Nothobranchius furzeri: one gene and its partners. The protein of the gene in region 3 interacts with the protein of the main gene of each other region in a pairwise test. Links are inferred from orthologs where the notes say so. Each region holds a gene or a part of one and is shown on either strand. Other genes may lie near its edges.

Region 1 (4,244 bases), on a different chromosome or scaffold from region 3:
GATAAATGTAAGGTGCACTCTAAATGATATAAAATGCATGTTCGAACAAAGTCTGAGAATATCACTAATCTGTTTTAGCACCCGAACCGGCTAGTGTGAAATGCATGCTTCAGATTTCCCCTAATAATACAGGGTAATAGAAATTGCCAAAAATAGTTTGGTCAGTATTGGCTGATATGAAAAATATTGTGGTGATGGGCATTTTTTCCATATCGTCCAGCCCTACTTCATATCAAAGAACTTCAGGTGGTATTTTGAGGATTCTCATAACTTAGATTAATTAAACATTTTGATATGTGATGCATAACCGAAAGTGTTAAAATAAAGCACATTCCTAGTGTGAGATTTACAATCACATAAAAATATTGTTTTTTTCCAGCTTGGTGAATTGGGAAAGGGAGCAGGGAAAGGTGGTGGTGGTGGAGGCTATGTGAGGTCAGCAGGAGGTGCCTTTGGAAAGCGAGAAGCAGCAGAGGAGGAGCTGTACTTCCGGTGAGATGCCAGGCATAGTGATAATACTGTACTACTACTTTCATTGTATTGTGTTTTCTTGACCGTCTCTGTGTTGCATTTGTTTGCAGGCAGAAGGAACGGGAGCAGTTGGAGGCACTAAGGAAGCATCATTCAGAAGAGATCGAGCACCACAAAAAGGAGATTGAACGCCTACAGAAGGAGATCGACCGCCACAAGGGCAAAATCAGAAAGCTCACGCACGACGATTAAGGGGGAGAGGCCAACTGTCAATTCTTTCCTGAGTAGAACCGCTTGTGAACATGTCGTTATCACTTGTACTTTCTGCAGGTCTTAGTCATGAAAGGTCCTTCTGACTCATCATGCTGAAATAATAAAGTGATTAATCTTCCTACATTGTCAAAATATGCATTTAATTCGCTTTGGATTTTTAAACATTTGGCTTGGTGTTCAAAACATGTGCATTTGTTTCTTCCAAGATAATCAAAATCCCTTTTCAGCAGTTGGATAAAAAGGAAGCATTCTTTTCCATCATCAGTGTTGTGAACGTATGTTTTCCATACTTTCAACAGAATCTTGAACATCAGTTTAAAATTTGAGAAAATAACTATCTGCATACAGATATCGTGCATTTTAAGTAGAAGTAAAATTACCTGTTGCAGTCACACTGCATGTTTTGTTTTTTAGTGTAAAAGTACAACAAAACGAGGATAATTCAATTAAACAGACAAAATACAAATGGACCAGAAAATACTCATGAAATCACAAAATTGATTCGTTATGCTGCGAAATGAATATAAGAAGTCGGGATCACAACTTCACCGCAAGTATTGCCTGCTAATACGTAGTTTTTCGTTTTATTTTTGTTCGTATCTGCGAAACAGAAACCACGGCAGCCATGATTCTCATGAAACCCCCTTCAATGATTTCTCGTTCTGGTCTCGCGATATTTGCTGAGCGGTTGCGTTGTTCGGGCGAGCCGACGACGAGACCGTTGGTGTCTGGAAAAATTGTCTCGTGGTAGAGATATAAGTACACTTTGTTTGGGCATTTTCGTTCGTTAATAAAATTAATAATTTCGCGCGCTAAACCACGGTGTAATTGGCTTCCTGAATCAGGCTGGTAAGTTTTGCTAACTATCAGTTTGGACCTTTTATGTGTTTGATATGTGAGAGGCGTTTGTCGGCACCGCGAGGCCTGCGCGTAAGCTTCGATAGTTAGCTTTTTGGCTAACTATCGCTGCTACTTGAAAAGGCACATTTTGAAATCCCCATCTTGCTTTGAAATATAGTCATTAAATCTTCTGTTAAGTTTTAATTGAGTTCGTTTTCTTTTAAAACGTGCATGTAAATATCAGAATTAAACGTATTTATCTGGCTAGTTAGCGGGCTGCATGCGAAGGAGGCGGGGCTGTAGCTATCTGTTGTTTCTTTTTGAAAACCTGGCTATTTTTTATGTAAACGTGTATATATATATATATATATATATTATATCTCATCCTTCATTTAATAGCATATACAACAATTTTAATTAATTGAATTAGCAAATGTCAGCAGTTGCGATCAAAAAGCAAGAAATCTATGAAGTGAGAGTATTTTTTGTTTGCTACAGGCTGAAAACGCAAATTATTATATGATCTCTAGATTTTATAAGTAAAATAATTACGCAAATGCAGATTAATCAAAAGACATGTCTCTCTTGATTGCTATATTGCAGAGGAATGGCTGCTGCTGAGGTGAATGGGAGTTCTGCTCCATTAAAGGAGGAAGAAGAGCCAATGGATGTGTCAATAACACACACAGAAAACTACCAAACACTACTTGATGCTGGGCTGCCTCAGAAAGTCGCTGAAAGTCTAGATAACATCTTCCAGACAGGTCAGTAATCGCTCCAAAATGAGCTGCTAAATTAAAATATATATATATGTCTCCAAATTGTTTGACATTTTGTTTTATATGTGTGTGTGTGTATGTGTTTTTACATATGTATATAAAATTTACTGTAGGCTTGGTGGCTTATGTTGACTTGGACGAAAGGGCCATTGATGCTCTGCGAGAGTTCAATGAAGAGGGAGCGCTCACGGTGCTGCAGCAATTCAAAGAGAGTGACCTATCTCATGTGCAGGTATTCATGTTTATAGGTAACATTTTAATATTTGTCTGAAGCTGTGATTGTATCCAAAGTGCTTTATGTTTCATTTGTATTTATATAATTTTTTTGTAGAATAAAAGTGCGTTCCTTTGTGGAGTCATGAAAACATACAGACAGAGGGAAAAACAAGGAAGCAAGGTACAAGAGTCCACCAAGGGTCCAGATGAGTCCAAAATAAAGGTGAATTATTTTATGCACATTTGTATGAAATGTTAAAAGTGAGCTTTAAAGTTAGATCTGAAACTAATGTTTAGTTATTGTTTTTTGTTTTAAGTCTCTGTTGGAGAGGACAGGATACACTCTGGACGTGACTACAGGGCAGAGAAAATATGGAGGCCCTCCACCTGAGGACGTATACACAGGCTCACAACCAGGGATTGGAACTGAGGTAGGAGTGCTTCATATATATATATATATATATATATATATATATATATATATATATATATATATATATATATATATATATTAGGGCTGTAGCGAAGCCTCGACGAAGTCGACGGCTCGATTCTAAAAATTTGTCGACGTCAGATCCGGAAGTCGACGCACCGCGCCCACTTTTTGCATCCCCAGGAGTTTGTAAATAGAGGAGGAATCTGCCTGTTCTTCCTCTAGTTCGCCCTCTTCTCCGCCTTCACTAACATCTCCGCCAAATACCGAAGACCCGGAACAACGTCCGTCCACTACTAGATTATTTTCCTGTTTTGCCCCTTCGTCTCCCGGCAACGGACAACAACTTCCGGGGTCAGATGCGCTGCTTCGTGTCTATCGCAGATGTAGAAAATCACCGGGAGCGCTTCTCCCTTCATTAAGGAGCTTCTTTCAGACATGAGGAGAGCTGTTTTGGTGGTAGCAGTCTCTCCTCCATGCTGGTCTGTTTGCTGCTGGGTGTTTTTGGTTTATTTAAACTTGGTAACTTGAACTTAATGTTGGTAAAGCTACTGTTAGCATCTTCGCTAACAGCTTCTTGCGTTGGGATAAGCTGTTACGTTTTGGTTTAGAGTTCATATTTTTTGTGGTGTAGATCTCCCTTTTATTACATTTAGAGTGTTGTGGGTTTTCGGTTTAGTGTAAAATATCACCTGAGTTTGGTTTAACCCGTAAGACCACTCGCCTCACGCACATAAGTGACCAAAACAAAGCAGCATGGAGACACTCCATCTTCTACCACCTCTCAGGCAGCAGCCTGCACTCCCAAGTTCTACACGTCATCAGAACATAACCAACCAACACAATAAACACAGTGTTATACAAAATGGAAGGCCTGTAGTGTTTATTCTCTTACAGTAAGAATTTATCAATTCTTTTTGAGGAATTTATTTGAGATTTTCTGGTTTTTGTTAATTGTGCAATAGAAAAATAATCATTAGATTAATTTTCTAAATAGTCATTAGAATAGTCGACTATTCGATAAAATAATCGTCAGAATAATCGTTTTAAAAATAATCGTTTACCCCTAGCCCTAATATATATATATATATAAAGTGATGAAATTTTCTGCAAACTCTGTTCATACATGGTGACCAAAATGCAGCAGAGCTTTGATCTTAATTATAACTAAAATATGAAAGACATTTGAAAATGTGCCCAAATTGTTAATCTAGTGATTTCTGGAAATGGAC
Region 2 (4,054 bases), on a different chromosome or scaffold from region 3:
TTCTGAACTTAATACCAGAAAAAAATATTTATTTGGACAAGAAATCTCAATTTATTGGAGACAGTAAAATTAATTTAAAATTCTCCATAACTTCTAATGAAATGTGACTTTTGTAAGTCTGAAAAGTCTTTTGTGTATAATTCTGCATAGTTATGAGTCAGGGGTTGTGTTGGTGGAAACTTCACTAAAATAAAGACTTTTATGGGGAACAAGCATCTAATTCTGATCTTTGTGAAGAAAAAAAATCCATTTTAGTAGCAATTCACATAGATAGAAGATATGAAATTTGTTTTTTTCAATATGATAAACTTGTGGGATTAGGAATGATCCAATAGGCATATTTGTGATAAATTAGTATTTATGTTAATTATAGGAATTGTGATTGTAGTTTTAATTTTATGTAAATAACTTTAAGTGAGTTTAGAAATTTAAAACACCAATTTAGTTCATCTGATTAAAGATGTTTTACCTCAATAAAACCTTCTAGGAGATGAATTGTGCCAACTAGAAAAGTAAATTCAATAACAAACAAGTACCATTAGAATTAATGGCGCCACTGATATTTAATAATATAAACCAACACTTCTGGAATATTTCAACAAATTAAAAAGCAGTGTAGCCTTTAAAAACACATAAATTAGTTTGTTGTGCATCTCCTGCAGAATTGTTTAAACAGCAGCTGCCTTGTGTCAGAGCCTGACTAGAATGTTTGCATAAATTTAAGGAAGTTTTGCACAAGCTGACACAAATATGTTTGTAGCTGAAAATAAACACCACAGACATTTCAGTTGAGACATTCAGGACTAAAACATTTAATGAGAAAGATGTAATTAAAATTCTGCAGGAAATTCTGCATGAAAAGCAAGTTTTGGTCTCTGTTGTCATCTGCTTTATAATTTGTAGAAATATTCCACTTAAACGCTTGCATTTATTTTAACTTGTAGAAATTCGGCGTGGAAAACAAACTTCTTGGAGACCTCTATCGTCATACATGTTTCCAGCAGGTGGCGGTAAAAAAAAAGTTAACCAGAAAATAAACCAGAGAAAAAGACACATTCCTTTTGTCCAATGACAGAAGGCTTTACTCATCCCAACGTGTCTTTTGACCAACCAGAGTCAACTACGTGCGTCGGAGTTTAGCGGGTCGCGAGTTAACAATTTAGCTAAGTCTAGAAGCTTTTTGTGAGTAAACAGGAAGCCTCATTGGGTTAAAACTAGAATTAAACAATAGTTTATTTTGTTTATTATCCAAAACAAACAGACTAAGACCAATTTTCGTGTTAACCATAAAAATAAACATGATTACTTGTTGCTAATGCTAACATCAGCTAACCAGCTGCGTTGTAACCCGCAAATGTTCTTTATTTTCTCATCGAACTGCTCTTAAACAAGAGGTAAGTGTTTTTGGTATTTGTGGTCAACTGTCTGTAGCTCTTATCTATTTTAACACAAGATCAGAATTATCTCAGGTTTACTGGCGTTTCAGTTTCGTTTCTGTCCTTTAAAGCTAATAATTTCGCGGGAATGTAAGTTAACGTGTTTAACAACATGTGCTTTGATGTTTTAGTTAACAGCGACAGTGTTTTACTATTAAAGCAAAGCACAGAAAAATGTTGTTATTAAAAGCTAATTCTCGTTTCCTAAGAGGTCCTTAATTAGAAATGTTTGTTTCTACTAAAATAATCCCAAATAATCCAATACTTTATAATAAATTATTCTTTAAAGCATTTATGTATTATGATTGGGTTAGGGTGATTATGTTTTAACATCTACATTTAGGCTAAATATGACATCAACATTATTTCTACACACAAACGTTTGAAATCTTTGGAATGTCTAATTTTATTTTAATGTTTTCAAAATGCCTGAGAGTGAAACTGAAATGGACATAATCTACTTTTATGAGACATACAAGTATTTTGTTTTGATGTAATGTTTATGAATATTTAAATCACTACTGTAAGATGCTGGGAAGTTAGAGATACATTAATTGAATTATGACTAAATATAAATATTATTATTAATAATCATAGGGAAAGGGTGGCTTGCCAACTCCGGGTCGGGGGAGAGGTCCTACCTCAAGTGGAGGAGTTTAAGTATCTCGGGGTCTTGTTCACGAGTGAGGGTAGGAGGGATCGGGAGATCGACAGGCGGATTGGTTCGGCATCTGCAGTGATGCGGACGCTGAGCCGATCTGTCGTGGTGAAGAGGGAGCTGAGCCAGAAAGCCAGGCTCTCGATTTACCGGTCGATCTACGTCCCAATCCTCACCTATGGTCATGAGCTTTGGGTAATGACCGAAAGAACGAGATCACGGATACAAGCGGCCGAAATGAGTTTCCTCCGTAGGGTGGCCGGGCTCAGCCTTAGAGATAGGGTGAGGAGCTCGGACATTCGGGAGGGACTCGGAGTAGAACCGCTGCTCCTCCGGATCGAAAGGAGCCAGCTGAGGTGGCTTGGGCATCTGGTCAGGATGTCTCCTGGACGCCTCCCTGGGGAGGTGTTTCAGGCACGTCCTGCTGGCAGGAGACCCCCGGGTCGACCCAGGACACGTTGGAGAGTTTACATCTCTAATCTGGTCCGGGAACGCCTTGGGGTCCTGCCAGAGGAGCTGGTGGAGGCGGCTGGAGAGAGGACGGTCTGGAGCTCCCTAGTTGGGATGCTGCCCTCGCGACCCGGATAAGCGGAGGAAGACGACAACAAATAATCGTTATTTTACTGAATTAAAAACCTTGTAAAAGTTCTGAGATGTTTTATCTGCTCTTTAGTCTGAAGTCTGTTTATAAACCAAAAAACCTTCAGCAAACCTTATTTACACAATTACATAAATATATTTTATTTATCTGTTTATAAATAATTTGAACATTTTCTGAGTCAGAGCTGACAAATCCAGTCTTCTGATCAACACGAGTGAAGTAGATCCTCTATATGTGGCTTGTTGTGAGATGCTGCAGCTGTTGTTGTTGTTTACGTTTTCACTCACATCCCAGAATGCAATGCAAGTCTGATAACAGGAGGGTGTGGGCCTCAAAGCTGCAACCTTTTGAGGCCACCTCCTTCATCGGGTCTCAGAACTACACTTTTGTTTTGCACCCTAAAGAGAGCTGCACCAAGCAAGGAAGCGGACCAGCGTTGAATATAAACAGCCGAAACGTCACACGTTCTCTTAAATATGCTAAAAGGGTTTAAATCACCAGAGATATTAACAAACGACCTCCATACAACTCTAGAGGTTTACAGAGAACTCTGTCACTTCCTAACCGTTATCGATGATAAACTCGCCGCTCTGCTGATCTCCTTCATCTCGTTTGGGTTTTATAAACAGAAACAAGCTGAACTTGGGATGGCGGTGGCTCCTGCCTCATTGGCAGATCAGATCATTGTGCTTGAAGATGATGAACCTGCGTGTTCCTCTGCCACCTCCTCCTCCTCCAAGCGACAAACCAGTAACGTCTCTCCAGCCCGCCGTCAGCAGCAGGCTCCCACACACATCGTCCACTCTCCTTTTGCTTCCAACAGGAAGAGCGTAAACGCTCTGCAGGCAGAGAACCAGAAGCTGTTCAGTGTGGTGAGTTTATATATATATATATATATATATATATATATATATATATATATATGTATATATATATATATATATATATATATATATATATATATATATGTATATATATATATATATATGTATATAGTTTTATTCTCTAACAAAACCAGATTCACCAAACGCTTCATCAGGTTCCTTTCTGCCTTTTCTCCAGTTTTTGGAGCACTGCACGTCTCTCACTAAGGACTGCCCAGAGGTCTTAACCTTCCTCCAGACCAAGCACGCCAAGGCCAGCGCTGAGTTCCTGTCCTCCGTGGAGTTCAGGAACACGCTGGGACGATGTCTGACCCGCGCTCAGGCCAACAGCTCCAAAACATTCGTCTACATTAATGAACTGTGCACCGTGCTCAAGCAGCACAGCGTCAAGAAGAGGCCGGCCCTCAGCCAGGCGGAGCCTTCTGCATCGACGTCGGGTGCCACCCGGTCTGCTCCCGATTCACTCCAGAGTAAA
Region 3 (4,188 bases):
CTCTGAGTGAGGCAGCGTTGTTGCACAGTCTGCATCTATCTGCTCTGGTAGACCCTTCTAGTACCAGGACAGTAATAATTAGGATACCTGAGGTAGGCCAAACACAGGTGCACAAATGCAAACATTTAAGAAGTAACATACCCCACAGGGCAACATGTAAACATGTATTTGTACAAACAGTACACAAAAACAACAAACCTAAACGTATTGTGCAACACATCTACCTGTGCAATATTTTTCAGAGTGAATGATTAGGTCAAAGATTTTTGTGCATTTATTTTAGCAGTGGGTGAACTGGTGTTGCAGGATGGGGCCGATAAGTCAGAAGAATAAAACTCTCTTTTAGTCTGGTGCTTCTGGTTATTGTGCTTTTGTAGATAAAAGCTGCACAGTTTGTGTTGTGGGGGTTCAGTCCCCTGATGATGTTGTTTTTCCTCCTAAGGACAGGTGTTGTAGAAGTAGGCAGCATTTCCAGTGTAGAGTGCTGAGCCAGTGGATTATTTTTTTCTTTTTTGCTGCATCCACCATGGAGCCTGCCTGGTATTCGTTTGCTGAGCTGTTTCCACACATAGCTCGTCTCGTGTGAAGCTGTTCCATTTCCTCTCTTGATGGAGTACGGACTGGTGAGGGCAGGACTTGGCATCCTAAACTTCCTCAGCCTTCTCAGCAAATACAAATGCTGTTTAGCCTTTGGGGCCTCAGGAGAGGTCCTCAGAGAAACTGATGCATACAAATTTTAATTTGTTCTCTTAGTGATGGAGTCAAGGTCATTTGTTCATAATGCACTCCAACTTTTCCGATGTTTGGGTGCTGTTATTCCAAATGTCAATAATCCTCTGTTTAGTTGATATAAAAAAAGATACTTTAAAATAAAGATACCCGTCATCTCCAGTTGGGGGCGCTGTGGTTCTCAGGTGCTGCTGTAAAAAAGCATTGATGCTCAGTAAAAGCCTTCCAAGCTTATAAAAGTCGAGGAGTCTTCAATAAATAAAACGTCCGATTACTACTAACAGTAGGTGGCAGTAAACACCTTTTCACGTTAGGTATGCGCAGACATATTTACGGCAACGCCCCGTGGACTGGATCTGCCGTAGTGGCCATCCGCCATTTTGGATGGGTCTCCATTCGCCCCCGGTGCATTAATTTCTACTGAGGAAGGGGCTAACTCAACTAAAAAACAAATTTAATCGAGCTTTTTCACAAAATCAGGCACAATGTATGGCATAATAATAAAATATAAATATAATTAAACAAAATAAATATTAATTAAATTTAATATAAAATCCCATCAGGTAGGCTAGAAAAGTCTCTGGTAATCCCACGTGATCTGCTTTCAATAGTACGCCGGTTGTTTTAGCCATAGGCAGCACAAAGGAGGCCCATCCAATATGGCGGAAACGCTGTAAATGACGTATGTAAGTCCAGAAGAAGAAGAAGCAGCCGTCCGCCAAAGTAGAAGAACCTGACGAAGAAGAAGACACGACACAAGGCAGAAGATGGAAATGGCGGCGCCAGCAGAAAGGATGGAGGTAAGGACTTACTGGGAGAAATATAGTAACTTCACACACACGAATTTTTAGTGTTGGCTTCCACCGATGTCGGACGTGTGTTTCTTTACCACACACAGAAAAACCGATTTTTAAACGTGGTTTCATGTGTCTGCTGATGCCGCTCATTCATTAGTGTCGCAGTTAGAACAAATCAGAAAAAATACGACAAAACTCTGACACTCAGTCAGTAACGCGTGTAGGTCGTGATTTAAAAATTTCGTTACATCGTGAGTGAGCGGTAATGGCTGAAGTTAGCCGGTGTGTCCTCTGTGACCGCATGGGTCCAACGTGTTAGCTCTGAAGCTAGGTAGTCTATGATAACTGGTTCTCGGCTTTGCACAATGGGTCCAACGTGTTAGCTCTGAAGCTAGTTAGCCTCTGATGCTAACTAGTTATCGGCTTTGTACAGTGAGTCAGTCCAACATGTTACCTCTTGTGCTGGTTAGCCTCCGAAGCTACATGTTTTACTCGGGTTAGAAAACCGCTGGGCTCAGAGTCAAACAAACTTAAAATTTAAAGTGTTTAAACTTCTGTAGCGTTCATGGGAGGGAGACTTAGCCGCTAAGCTAATCTGTTCGGTCTGGAGGTGTCGGGAGCCGGGTGCACGTTGACACTCATCTCCCATCTAACAGCCCTCTGCCCAGTTTACTCCTCGCGATTATTGTACATGTTTAAAGTCAGTGAGGTGAACATTCTCGGTTTTTTTAACGTGGTCAAATTGCTTTAACACAACGCTGGTTACGTTTAACCTCAGTCAGAGTGGACAAGCATAAGAGACGGTTTAGTTTAGACGTGGTAGTAGATGCTGCTGCTGGTTCCTGATCACAGGAGCTCAGGGGACTGGTTCCTGAATCCTCACTAGGACGGAATGTATTTATTACGTCATCTTTGTCCTCAGAGACAGCGTAGCAGCAGCGGTAAAAACAGGCAGACCGGTGGGTCTGAGGTAGGGTTGTCACGGTGTGAAAATTTAAGCTCACGGTTATTGTGACCAAAATTACCACGGTTTTCGGTATTATCGCGGTATTTTTTTAACGTGCTACATTTTCACACAATTAAATAAACCCTGTATGTCAGGAAATATTCTCCACAGTTTGTCTAAATTTTGCCTAAAATGTGTTATTTTGTAATGTTTATTTGTTTACATTGTTTCCCATTAGTCTTTAAAATACAGATATTTGCTACTTATTTTTTGTCTGTTTGATGTCATCATTTAAAAATATTAGATCCGATGATACTCAGTACTCAAGTAGCCTTCTAATCAGATACTTTACCCTTACTTGAGTAACAAACCCTATATCAGGTAAATATTGTCCTCGGTTTGTGTCCTTCCAGTGAGCTTTGCAGATGTGGGAAAATGTCATCAGGCAGTAATCATTGTTAAATTCATAATTATTCTCGGAGAGAGACCAACTCTTATCTGCCCCTGGGAGCCCCGTAATGCATAGCGTCATTTCAACATGGGGTGTCTGCGATAGGGCTGCTCGATTATGGCGAAAATAATAATCACGATTATGGTGACTGAAATTGAGATCACGATTATTTAGGACGATTTTTCAATTTATGTTGATTTTATTTGTTTTTATTCAGTCATAAAATTGCTCAGGGCACAATCAGGACAAAAATAAGAAACAAGATGATCACTAAAAGAACTCCTGATTCCCAGTATAAAAAGACCAATATATTTTTATAGCTCATAGTTTATGACCCAAGGGCTATAGACCTTGGTTTAACTCATTTAAGTCTAACCAGTACAGACCCAAATACCAATATCTTGCAAATACTGACAGCAAGAATTATACAGTGGCAACAAATACATGCAAATAAATTTATGTTCACAAAATGTTGCATAACATTTATTTAGTTGTGTCAAGGTGCTGTAGGAGAGTGCACTAGCACCGTGTCCTCAGAGATTAGTTATTAATTATCAGCGTGAGGAACTTATTTCTACATTATTTATAAACTATTTATTTACAAGTCCATCAGTTAATGTAATAATTGTCCCAACCACAGCTGCACCCCCCAACCCGGTCTCACAGCAATCGGGGCAAACTGCACGTGTGTTTAGCGCGCCGCACACGCACATTTAGCCGTTTTTAGTGGCTCAGGAGTCCGCAGGTGCGGTGTGTGTGTCACTCACTCTGGTTACTCCAACAGGGAGCCGGCTCTGAGAGCTGTTTCTTTAGCGACTGACACATCACTACATCATTCCCTTTCCTAATGTCCTGAAGAACGGTCCGGGGCGCAGGCGGAGTGTTAAGCTAACCTGCAGGAAATGTCGATGACAGTTATCCAGAAAGTAGCTAAGGGTTACCAGAGATGTTTCTCAGGTGTTCGCTAGGTACTTTTAAGTTAAAAAGTCAAGAAGGGTGTCTGAAAAGCTGCTAGAAATAGCGTCAAAGTCGCTAAGTTGGCAACACTGTGAGGAGCGCTTCATTTGCAACTCGGGGCAGCGCAGGCGGGAGGAGCAAATAATCGGCTTGTTTTGTTTTTTATAATCGTTCAAAACTCAGATCGTAATCGTGATTAAAATTCGATTAATTGAGCAGCCCTAGTCTGCGACACGGTTTATATGCAGGTAGCGGCGCTGCAGCTGCTTTATATAGCGACTCGTTGCATTCTCCCTCAACCCAAATCC
Region 4 (4,142 bases), on a different chromosome or scaffold from region 3:
AAGTTTATTATCAAATAGTAATATAATAATAATAATGTGTTGTTACCCTCATTGCATTCTGATTATGAATCATTTCTCTGTCCTTTTCAGAGGGTTGGTGAAAACATCCCCATTCATAACAACGCTGAACTAAATTAATTGGAAAGAGACAAGAGTCGAACCCTGAGGTCGGACATCCTCGTCCATTTTCATACTTAACAGAAGAAGGTGTCAGTGCTCCTGTTTTGTTTCTGTATATTGGTGATATGGTCTGTATTTGTAAAGCACTTTCTTAGGTTTCTACGAGCTCCCAAGGCGCTTCACACAAGTAGTTATTCACACATTCACACGCTGGTGGGGATGAGCTACGATGTAGCCACAGCTGCCCTGGGGCGCACCGACAGAGGCGAGGCTGCCGAGCACGGGCGCCAACGCTCTCTCCGACCACCACCAGCAGGCAATGTGGGTTAATTGTCTTGCCCATGGACACAACAGCAGCATTATCTGGTCGGAGCTGGGATCAAACCTGCAACCTTCTACTTGAGCCTACTGGACAACCTGGTCTACCTCCTGACCTACTGCTGTCTCAGTTTGTTGGAACTCATCTTTCTGTTTAAATGTCTCTAAAGTCAAACTTTTGTTTTGTCAATTTGTTCAAATTTAAGAATATTTTTGCTAAAATAAGTCGATACTCAGTTCGTTCAGTTGAAAAATGCGATAATTGTCAACAAGTGTTTGATTTGAGAGTGATGATGTACTAAACTACAGAAAACGGCTTAGGCTTCTGGGGAGTTGTTGCCATCTTTGGGTCATCAGAACGGGCCTTCACCCGTGAGCGAGATGTTGTCCTGGCTTTTATTCTGGAATGAAAAGAGTGGTTTTATTTGTGATCATTCTTCCTTTCATGATTCCTTCACTGTGTGTGGTTTACTTTTCCTTTAGAGTCAGCTAAGTTTGCATAATGTTCTCTACTACCATCTGAAAACACGAGACTCAGGATTGGATCATTGTCTGATATTTAAGTGTTTTCTGACCTGAAACGTCTAAAAAGCAACAACAGAATAAATCTGTGTGGAGACCAAAAACTTTATTCACCTTCAAAAACATCTTGATTGAAAACAGCCTGAATTTTTTTTGGGTTCGAGTGCTTTTTTCACAGCTGCTACCTCATCGTGTTCAGTTTTGTCCAGGAGAAACGACTATAGGAGATGTTTGTCATAAACGTATCAGTGTGTAAACACAGCAGCGATCGTCCATCTGTGGGCAGCGTGGTGCTGTTTTTTTATTCGTTCCTGTGCTTTTCTGCTCGCTTTTGTTTCCTCCAGTTGCAGCTTTTCCGACAGCACGGAAACGCACCATCATTTCACGCCGAGCGCCTCTGTTTATTTTGGGCTCGATGACGCGCACTCTGCACTCCTCCTATATGCGGCTCGTCAGTGCGTGTCTGGGCCTCGGATTGGTGAGCTGTAGTTGCCGTAGGTTTTTGTGACGGAGATGTAGGGAGGAGGAGGTGGGGGGAGGGGGCGCAATATAAAAACCTCTCTCCCCTAGCGAAAGCTCTCACTCTGGAGGAGGAAAGTGACGAGCGAGGGTCGACGAGGGTTCCCTAAACCTCCGTATTTACTAAAGCCAGGGGTCTACCCCAAAACACGGTACCGTCCCCTAACGCGGACCAGCCAACGAACACTTTCCTCTACCTCAAGTAATAAATGCCAAGAGAAACCGGAGCGCCACCAGAAAAGGATCGAAGCCCAGAATCGAAAAGGAACGCAAACAGTCGGACAGCAAAAGCAAGAAAAAGCGCACGGATCGTCGCCGTGGCACTTCTCAATGCATACCCTTTGTGCTCGGGGAACGATGAAGCCAGAAATAAGCGCCGCCGTCGGATTTCTGTCGAGATTTCTGAGGGTAAAAGGACACATAAACGACCGACAGGTCCAGACGTTCAACCAAAGCTTACAAGACATTCTGTCAGGTAAGGAAAGCACTAAATGATCCAAATGCGCACAAGAGACGCGCGTAAAAAACAAACTAATGGTTTTACACATCTGTTTAGGTGAAAAGTGGCAAAAATTGGCTTCAAATGGATTTGAGAAGAAGCCTTTCTTTGTTCTCTCAAGTATCATTATCAGCGCGACGGAGGCGCGCCACTGTTTGCGCTCGTCGGAGATAAAACATCACATTTTGAGCGCGCGGGGTAATCCGTCGACGGTTTGGCTAATTTAGACCATTTTCGGTGTTTTAAACTGAAAAAATGAATGAATCTGTTGTTTGGGTCTATTTGGGTGGGGGTGGGGTGAGAGAGGGGGGAGAGAGAGAGACGCTCAAACGAGGAAGTGCGCCTCGCTCCACAGATCTGAGAACACAGGCGCTGAGCAAAACAAGCTCAATTACGTAATGCTCCGGACGGAGCGGGTAAACATGTCCACTCCTCCTATAAAGAGAGTTTATAACCGCGTAAAACGTCTTTTGATTCCACTCACGTGTTTTAATAAGTTTTAAACGATTATGGCCTTGTTTGAAAACAGTTACAGCCTGCTTCTGATTCTAGTTTGCCGCATTTTTGTTTACGCTGTGTATTCACAAGATGTTGTTTTTTATTGCGTTTCTTCCTTTTATCCTTTTTTAAGAATTTGCCTTTATTTTTACACGGTTCTAAAATGAGGATAACTTTGGATTTTTACAGCTTATTTAGAGCAGAAGCAGCTTTTTGCGCCAAAATACTCTTGAGCTAAAAACTGTAGACAAATAAATAATCTGAGTTAAAAACTGTAGACAAATAAATACTCTGAGCTAAAAACTGTAGACAAATAAATAATCTGAGTTAAAAACTGTAGACAAATAAATCTGCCCCATCCCAGTTCCACGCAGATGCAGCTGGCCCAGATAACCCATTATTGTTGTTTATTAATATGTTTGCTTGGATCTAAGCCAAGCAATTGAAACAACTGATGGTTAAAATGGGTCAATAATAAAATGTTTTGTTTTAGGACTTATTGTCACATTGATGGATGATTATCTGTAAACATCTGCAAGTGTTTTTTTTTTTTTGTAAACAAAGTTGGAGGCTGTGTGTGTGTGTCGGGGGGGGGGGGGGTGGCGGTAGAAGAGAGAAAAGTGGTGTCTGATACAAGCTTGTGTGTATTTATCATGTAATAAACAAAGTGAGTTCACTCCCAATCACATTCAAAGCAGAGGGTGTGTGTGTGTGGTTGTTCTGTCTAAACTGGGTCAAGTAGAACTTTTTTATGTTTGGAATCCTTTTGGCCATTTGCCATTGTGTCTAAAACCCTAAGGCCCCGGCTCTGGTGCTCAGCACAGACAGGCAGGGAGACGTTTTGGCCCTTGGCCATATTGCAACCTCTAAAGTTTAGTTCTGAACTATGTCACTCTGACAGGAAGTGGCTTCAGGTGAACACACAGCACGCTAAAGGTTCCCCAGTGTTCGAGGTTGTCTCCCAACGAGTAAACAATCTGCTTTGGTTAAACTCTTTAGGTTAAGCACACAGTCGTCTGCGTACTTCCTACGTCCGTTCCACCCCCTCCTCCAACTGTGTGCCCTGGTTTTTAAGAATAGGCCGCGCTGAGCCGATCATTTCCCAGCTGCTCCAGGGTTTGTCGGCAGCTGCCTTTGTGGCTGAGGCCGCTCTTTCATGAATGCCAGCCCTTCCATTAGCTCGGCAGAAAAACAGCCATCTGTGATGAGGCTGGGAGTGGGTGGGTAAGGGGTGGGCTTGTTATTATCCCATGGTTGCATACAGGTGGCCTCCGGGCCTAATGCTGGCCTACTTCCCCCAAACTCCCCCCTTTTTATGGCTACAATACAGTCCCAACCAATGGGGATTCAGCGTTGATGAGCCTTGGCAGAAAATGAGTTTGCTTAAAGTGAGGTGGTTGGTAAATGAACGGGTGAGGACAAAGGGGATTCAACGTGTCCCAACTGTCCAGGGAATAAAGACGAAAAGGTGTCTCATTTGCTCCGGAGTAACCAAACTGTTTCAGTAAAATGAATCATCGACAACCTGAAACTGATGACCTTCCCCTTTAAGAAGTGGAGCTCTTTGTCCCAAACGGCCACCCGGACACATTATGTATTTTTATCCTGTTATGGGGCTGTTTGACAGGCCGGGGGGGGGAGTTGCACAGTTCCATGAATGCCTGTT
Region 5 (3,512 bases), on a different chromosome or scaffold from region 3:
ATATATATATATATATATATATATATATATATATATATATATATATATATGTTTCCAGCTCATGCTATTTTAAATCTTTAAGAGCAAAGGTAGGCACAGTATATGGAAAAATATTACCAATGGCACTACTGAGATTTAATTTTATCTCAAGTAGGTTATTATCGTCAGCCTGAATTCATACCCGGAAATGAAATGGCTCATTTCAGTGAAGCTCCGCCCACACACTCTCTTACAAAATGCACCTACAACAGTGTCTTAGTCAAGTCTGCTGTTGTATGGGCCTTGGTAGTCCAGTGGTTAAAGCGACTGCCTTGGCACTCTAACCACTGGACTACCAAGTCTGTTCCAAAACAATAGTCACCTAACACTTATGTCCTGTGCTGGCTATTATGTGCATCTTTGTTGACAGGACACATGGTTTATCAAGGGTTTTTGTCCCCAACGCAGAAATAATTTGTCAGAATATCCACTCTGATACTGGTCGTGGTTTAAAACAATCATCTGTGACATGAAGGTCACATGCAGGGACAGCAGTAGCTCAGGAGGTAGAGTGTGTTGTTCAGTAATTGGAATATTGCAAGTTCAATGCGAATGTGTGAATGACTGATTGAGTTGTGAAGCGCCTTGGGGGATGTACAACCCTAAGAAGTATACAAATACTGGCCATTTATCATTCTCAAGTGAAGCATCTCTATGCCCGCAACTAGAAGAAAGTGGGAGTTAGTGACCTACTTCCAGGCAAGGCGAGTTTCAATTCAGAGACTAGCTTTGAGGAAAGAAGCAGGGCCAGTTGACGCACTTACTTTCCATCAAGGGTTATCAGGATTTTCAAAATAAATCTCTAAATTTGCAGCTGAGACAGGAAAATACATGAGTGCAGCAAAAAAAACTGGTTTGGTGGTATTTTTCATAAAAAATACCACGTGGTAAAAAGCTCCAAATTGGTGATTTTTCATAAAATGGCCCCTTTAAATACTTTCATAAATATTTATTTTAATCCTATAATGTATAAAGTGGCACTATCGTGACCATTCCAAATTATCCTTCTAGTTTTAATTTAATGACATGCAAAAGAGGCTAAATTTGAACTAAACTTTCATTTGTGACCTACTTTGTTTACTTGCTAACTGATAACTTGCTAACTGATCTAACATAAGTCCAGTCATTTAAGACATCTCATGTTGATAAATAAATGTAATGTATGTAACCATTAATGGGGACAAAGAATTGAAACCAACATTTTTCTTGTTTGTGAATAAAGACAGCTTGGGGGGTCAAAAGTACAGAAAAGTCAAAGCCGTGTGTGACCTACTTTTTATGTAAATGAGAAAGTTTAAAAATGCCAGAGAAAATCTTCTTTTCTGAGAAACATGATAAAAATGTCACAATGTGGAGCCCTTCCCCGTCCAGTTTGCTGTCTCCAGTGTCTGAGGCCTTCTGGTTTAAACCAACCAATCAGCAAGCAGCTCATTAGCATATTCATGTCCTGGCCAAGTGGGAAGGGTAAATGGCTCTTTTCACAGCAAGGCTGATTTAGGGGGTTTAGAATGGTCTGTATAAGGGCTCTTGGGAAGCCAAAAGACATTTTCTCATGTTTCTTAGAGATTCAAAGCGGTGACTTAGATGGCTAATAAACTGCATAAAACAAATCCCCTCTCATTGCTACCCTCTGATTTTATTTTTTCAGCGCTCTCTCATCAGCTACAAATCCAAAATGGTAATGAGGTCCATCCCAGAGCTTCTGAGTGACTCATCCACCCATGTTTCCATTGCCGTGGCCCGGCATTTGAAAGAAGGCTCCCCGGCACCCTCGTCGTCCTCTGACTCAGACGTAGATGCGGATGAGCTTCCCTTTGTTCCCATGCCCCTGTCCATGGTCTTCTCTGGTTCCAGGATCTCCCTTAATGAGATCCCAGTGGATGAAGTTGATCTCCCTAATAGTAGGAAGGAAAGGGACCTCATGGGTGATGAAAGAGGGGCTAATACAAGCGAATCAGATAAAACTCCAAATGAGGAGACATTAGGCAAATATGAACGAGATGCTCTTAAAAAAGGATCAAGTGTTGAGTCCAACGAATCACAGACAAGACCAAGACGGGCTACCATGAGGAGAGGCAGCTCTGCTGATTCGGCACTGCTTCTCCAAGTATACACAGAAAAGGAAAATGCAAATGAGGACTTGGAGACAAGTAGCAAGAGTCTGAAAAAGGCTGTTTCTATGGAGCTGCCAAACCGCAGCTCAAGCCCTGGGGCTACAAAGTTAAGTCAGGAGGAATATGCCCTCAAACTGGAGCTGATGAGGCAGCGACTGCTAAGAGGGGGAAATATTGATAAAAAGATGAGCGGGCTGCGGGGACCTTTGTTTGAAACGCTTGGCATGGATGACGAGAGCCAAACTAGATCCCTTGATCGAAATTTGAGAAGATCTAGAGCAGGGCCATCAATGCTCGCCCGAGCAGCGTCATCCGAGAGTTCAGGAGAGGACACACCAAAGACCAACATTTTCCGCAAAACTGTCTCCTTCACTCAGGGAGATTCTGAGCCCATGCCCTTGCACCGTAGATTTGGAGCCCCCTTGGAGATCCCATCTGCCTGCAGTGCAAACATAGAAGGGAAGGCACTTCAAGAGGCGACTTCAATGTCTGCGCTGATGGAACAAACAACATTAGAGTCCTTATCTTCCTCACAGAGAGAGGAAACTTCCTTTGTATTCCCAACAGAACCAAAACTGGACCAACACATACACCAGAACAATGTGAAAAATGACAATGTAGAGGGAACAGACCAAAGGACCAAATCTCAACTAGAAAAGAGAGGTAGAGCAGAATCTGAATCCAAACCTGTTATAGTGGAAGATGAAGAGAAGAACCATGGCAAGGGTGAGAAAGAGAATGGCACAAAGTCTACCGGTACATCTGCATCGCCCGAGCATCCAGCTGTGTTTGCCAAAATAGCAACTAGTGACCAAGCTCCTGCTTCCGTTTCCCTTTCATCTAGCTCCAATCTTCCTACCGTCCCCCGTCATCCAGTGCTCAGAACAGACATCAAAGACATCGATTCAGAGGAAGTCTTTGAAGCCAGGTTTAAGAAGCGGGAGTCGTCTTTGACCCGTGGCCTCCGCAAACTGACCAGGAACATATCAGATGAGAAATCACCCATATTGAGCCGTAAAGAGGTTGAAGGTGGTGAAGAAATTTACAGGCCAGGACCGAGGGGGGCGCCTCTGGAAATGGTACCCAGAGTACTATCGGAAAAATCCAAATCCGTTCAAGATTTAAGAGAAGTGGATCGAGAAGCGGGCCTTGGTCTGATTGGGAGGCTGTCTTTGCAAGCGAAGAAATCAACATCCACCGAGAAGAAAGGTGAGAAACCAAATGGGGGAAAGCAACAGAATGTTCAAGAAGCTGCCATAAATAAGAGGGTTTCCTGGGCCGTTGGTCGGAGTAAGTCTCTGGATACAACAGATCTGAGTAGTTCCAAGACACGGAGGCAAGTGGATGAACTCGAGCAAG

What was found.
Region 1: the proteins of prmt1 (region 3) and heterogeneous nuclear ribonucleoprotein R interact in binary tests that used the Homo sapiens proteins (3 or more experiments, as listed by UniProt). The link is inferred for Nothobranchius furzeri from reciprocal best matches to the Homo sapiens genes PRMT1 and HNRNPR.
Region 2: the proteins of prmt1 (region 3) and daxx interact in a two-hybrid assay, tested with the Homo sapiens proteins (2 studies listed by BioGRID and IntAct). The link is inferred for Nothobranchius furzeri from reciprocal best matches to the Homo sapiens genes PRMT1 and DAXX.
Region 4: the proteins of prmt1 (region 3) and btg1 interact in a two-hybrid assay, tested with the Homo sapiens proteins (2 studies listed by BioGRID). The link is inferred for Nothobranchius furzeri from reciprocal best matches to the Homo sapiens genes PRMT1 and BTG1.
Region 5: the proteins of prmt1 (region 3) and spega interact in binary tests that used the Homo sapiens proteins (3 or more experiments, as listed by UniProt). The two-hybrid records come from large-scale screens. The link is inferred for Nothobranchius furzeri from reciprocal best matches to the Homo sapiens genes PRMT1 and SPEG.

The regions. Positions count from the first base shown.
Region 1 is NC_091759.1:6,952,783-6,957,026, reverse strand, and holds the start of heterogeneous nuclear ribonucleoprotein R, read left to right. Parts: upstream 1-1,442; 5' UTR 1,443-1,593; intron 1,594-2,187; 5' UTR 2,188-2,191; coding exon 2,192-2,348; intron 2,349-2,476; coding exon 2,477-2,595; intron 2,596-2,694; coding exon 2,695-2,802; intron 2,803-2,896; coding exon 2,897-3,010; intron 3,011-4,244. Other genes in the region: atp5if1a (ATPase inhibitor A, mitochondrial), read left to right, coding at 380-492, 582-723. UniProt on the Homo sapiens protein: Component of ribonucleosomes, which are complexes of at least 20 other different heterogeneous nuclear ribonucleoproteins (hnRNP). hnRNP play an important role in processing of precursor mRNA in the nucleus.
Region 2 is NC_091759.1:22,797,641-22,801,694, forward strand, and holds the start of daxx (death domain-associated protein 6), read left to right. Parts: upstream 1-1,254; 5' UTR 1,255-1,394; intron 1,395-3,324; 5' UTR 3,325-3,342; coding exon 3,343-3,567; intron 3,568-3,757; coding exon 3,758-4,054. UniProt on the Homo sapiens protein: Transcription corepressor known to repress transcriptional potential of several sumoylated transcription factors. Down-regulates basal and activated transcription.
Region 3 is NC_091758.1:13,912,164-13,916,351, reverse strand, and holds the start of prmt1 (protein arginine N-methyltransferase 1), read left to right. Parts: upstream 1-1,387; 5' UTR 1,388-1,496; coding exon 1,497-1,529; intron 1,530-4,188. UniProt on the Homo sapiens protein: Arginine methyltransferase that methylates (mono and asymmetric dimethylation) the guanidino nitrogens of arginyl residues present in proteins such as ESR1, histone H2, H3 and H4, FMR1, ILF3, HNRNPA1, HNRNPD, NFATC2IP, SUPT5H, TAF15, EWS, HABP4, SERBP1, RBM15, FOXO1, CHTOP, MAP3K5/ASK1, MICU1 and NPRL2.
Region 4 is NC_091741.1:44,414,672-44,418,813, reverse strand, and holds the start of btg1 (protein BTG1), read left to right. Parts: upstream 1-1,340; 5' UTR 1,341-1,809; coding exon 1,810-1,954; intron 1,955-4,142. UniProt on the Homo sapiens protein: Anti-proliferative protein.
Region 5 is NC_091742.1:63,023,330-63,026,841, forward strand, and holds part of spega (striated muscle preferentially expressed protein kinase), read left to right. Parts: intron 1-1,687; coding exon 1,688-3,512.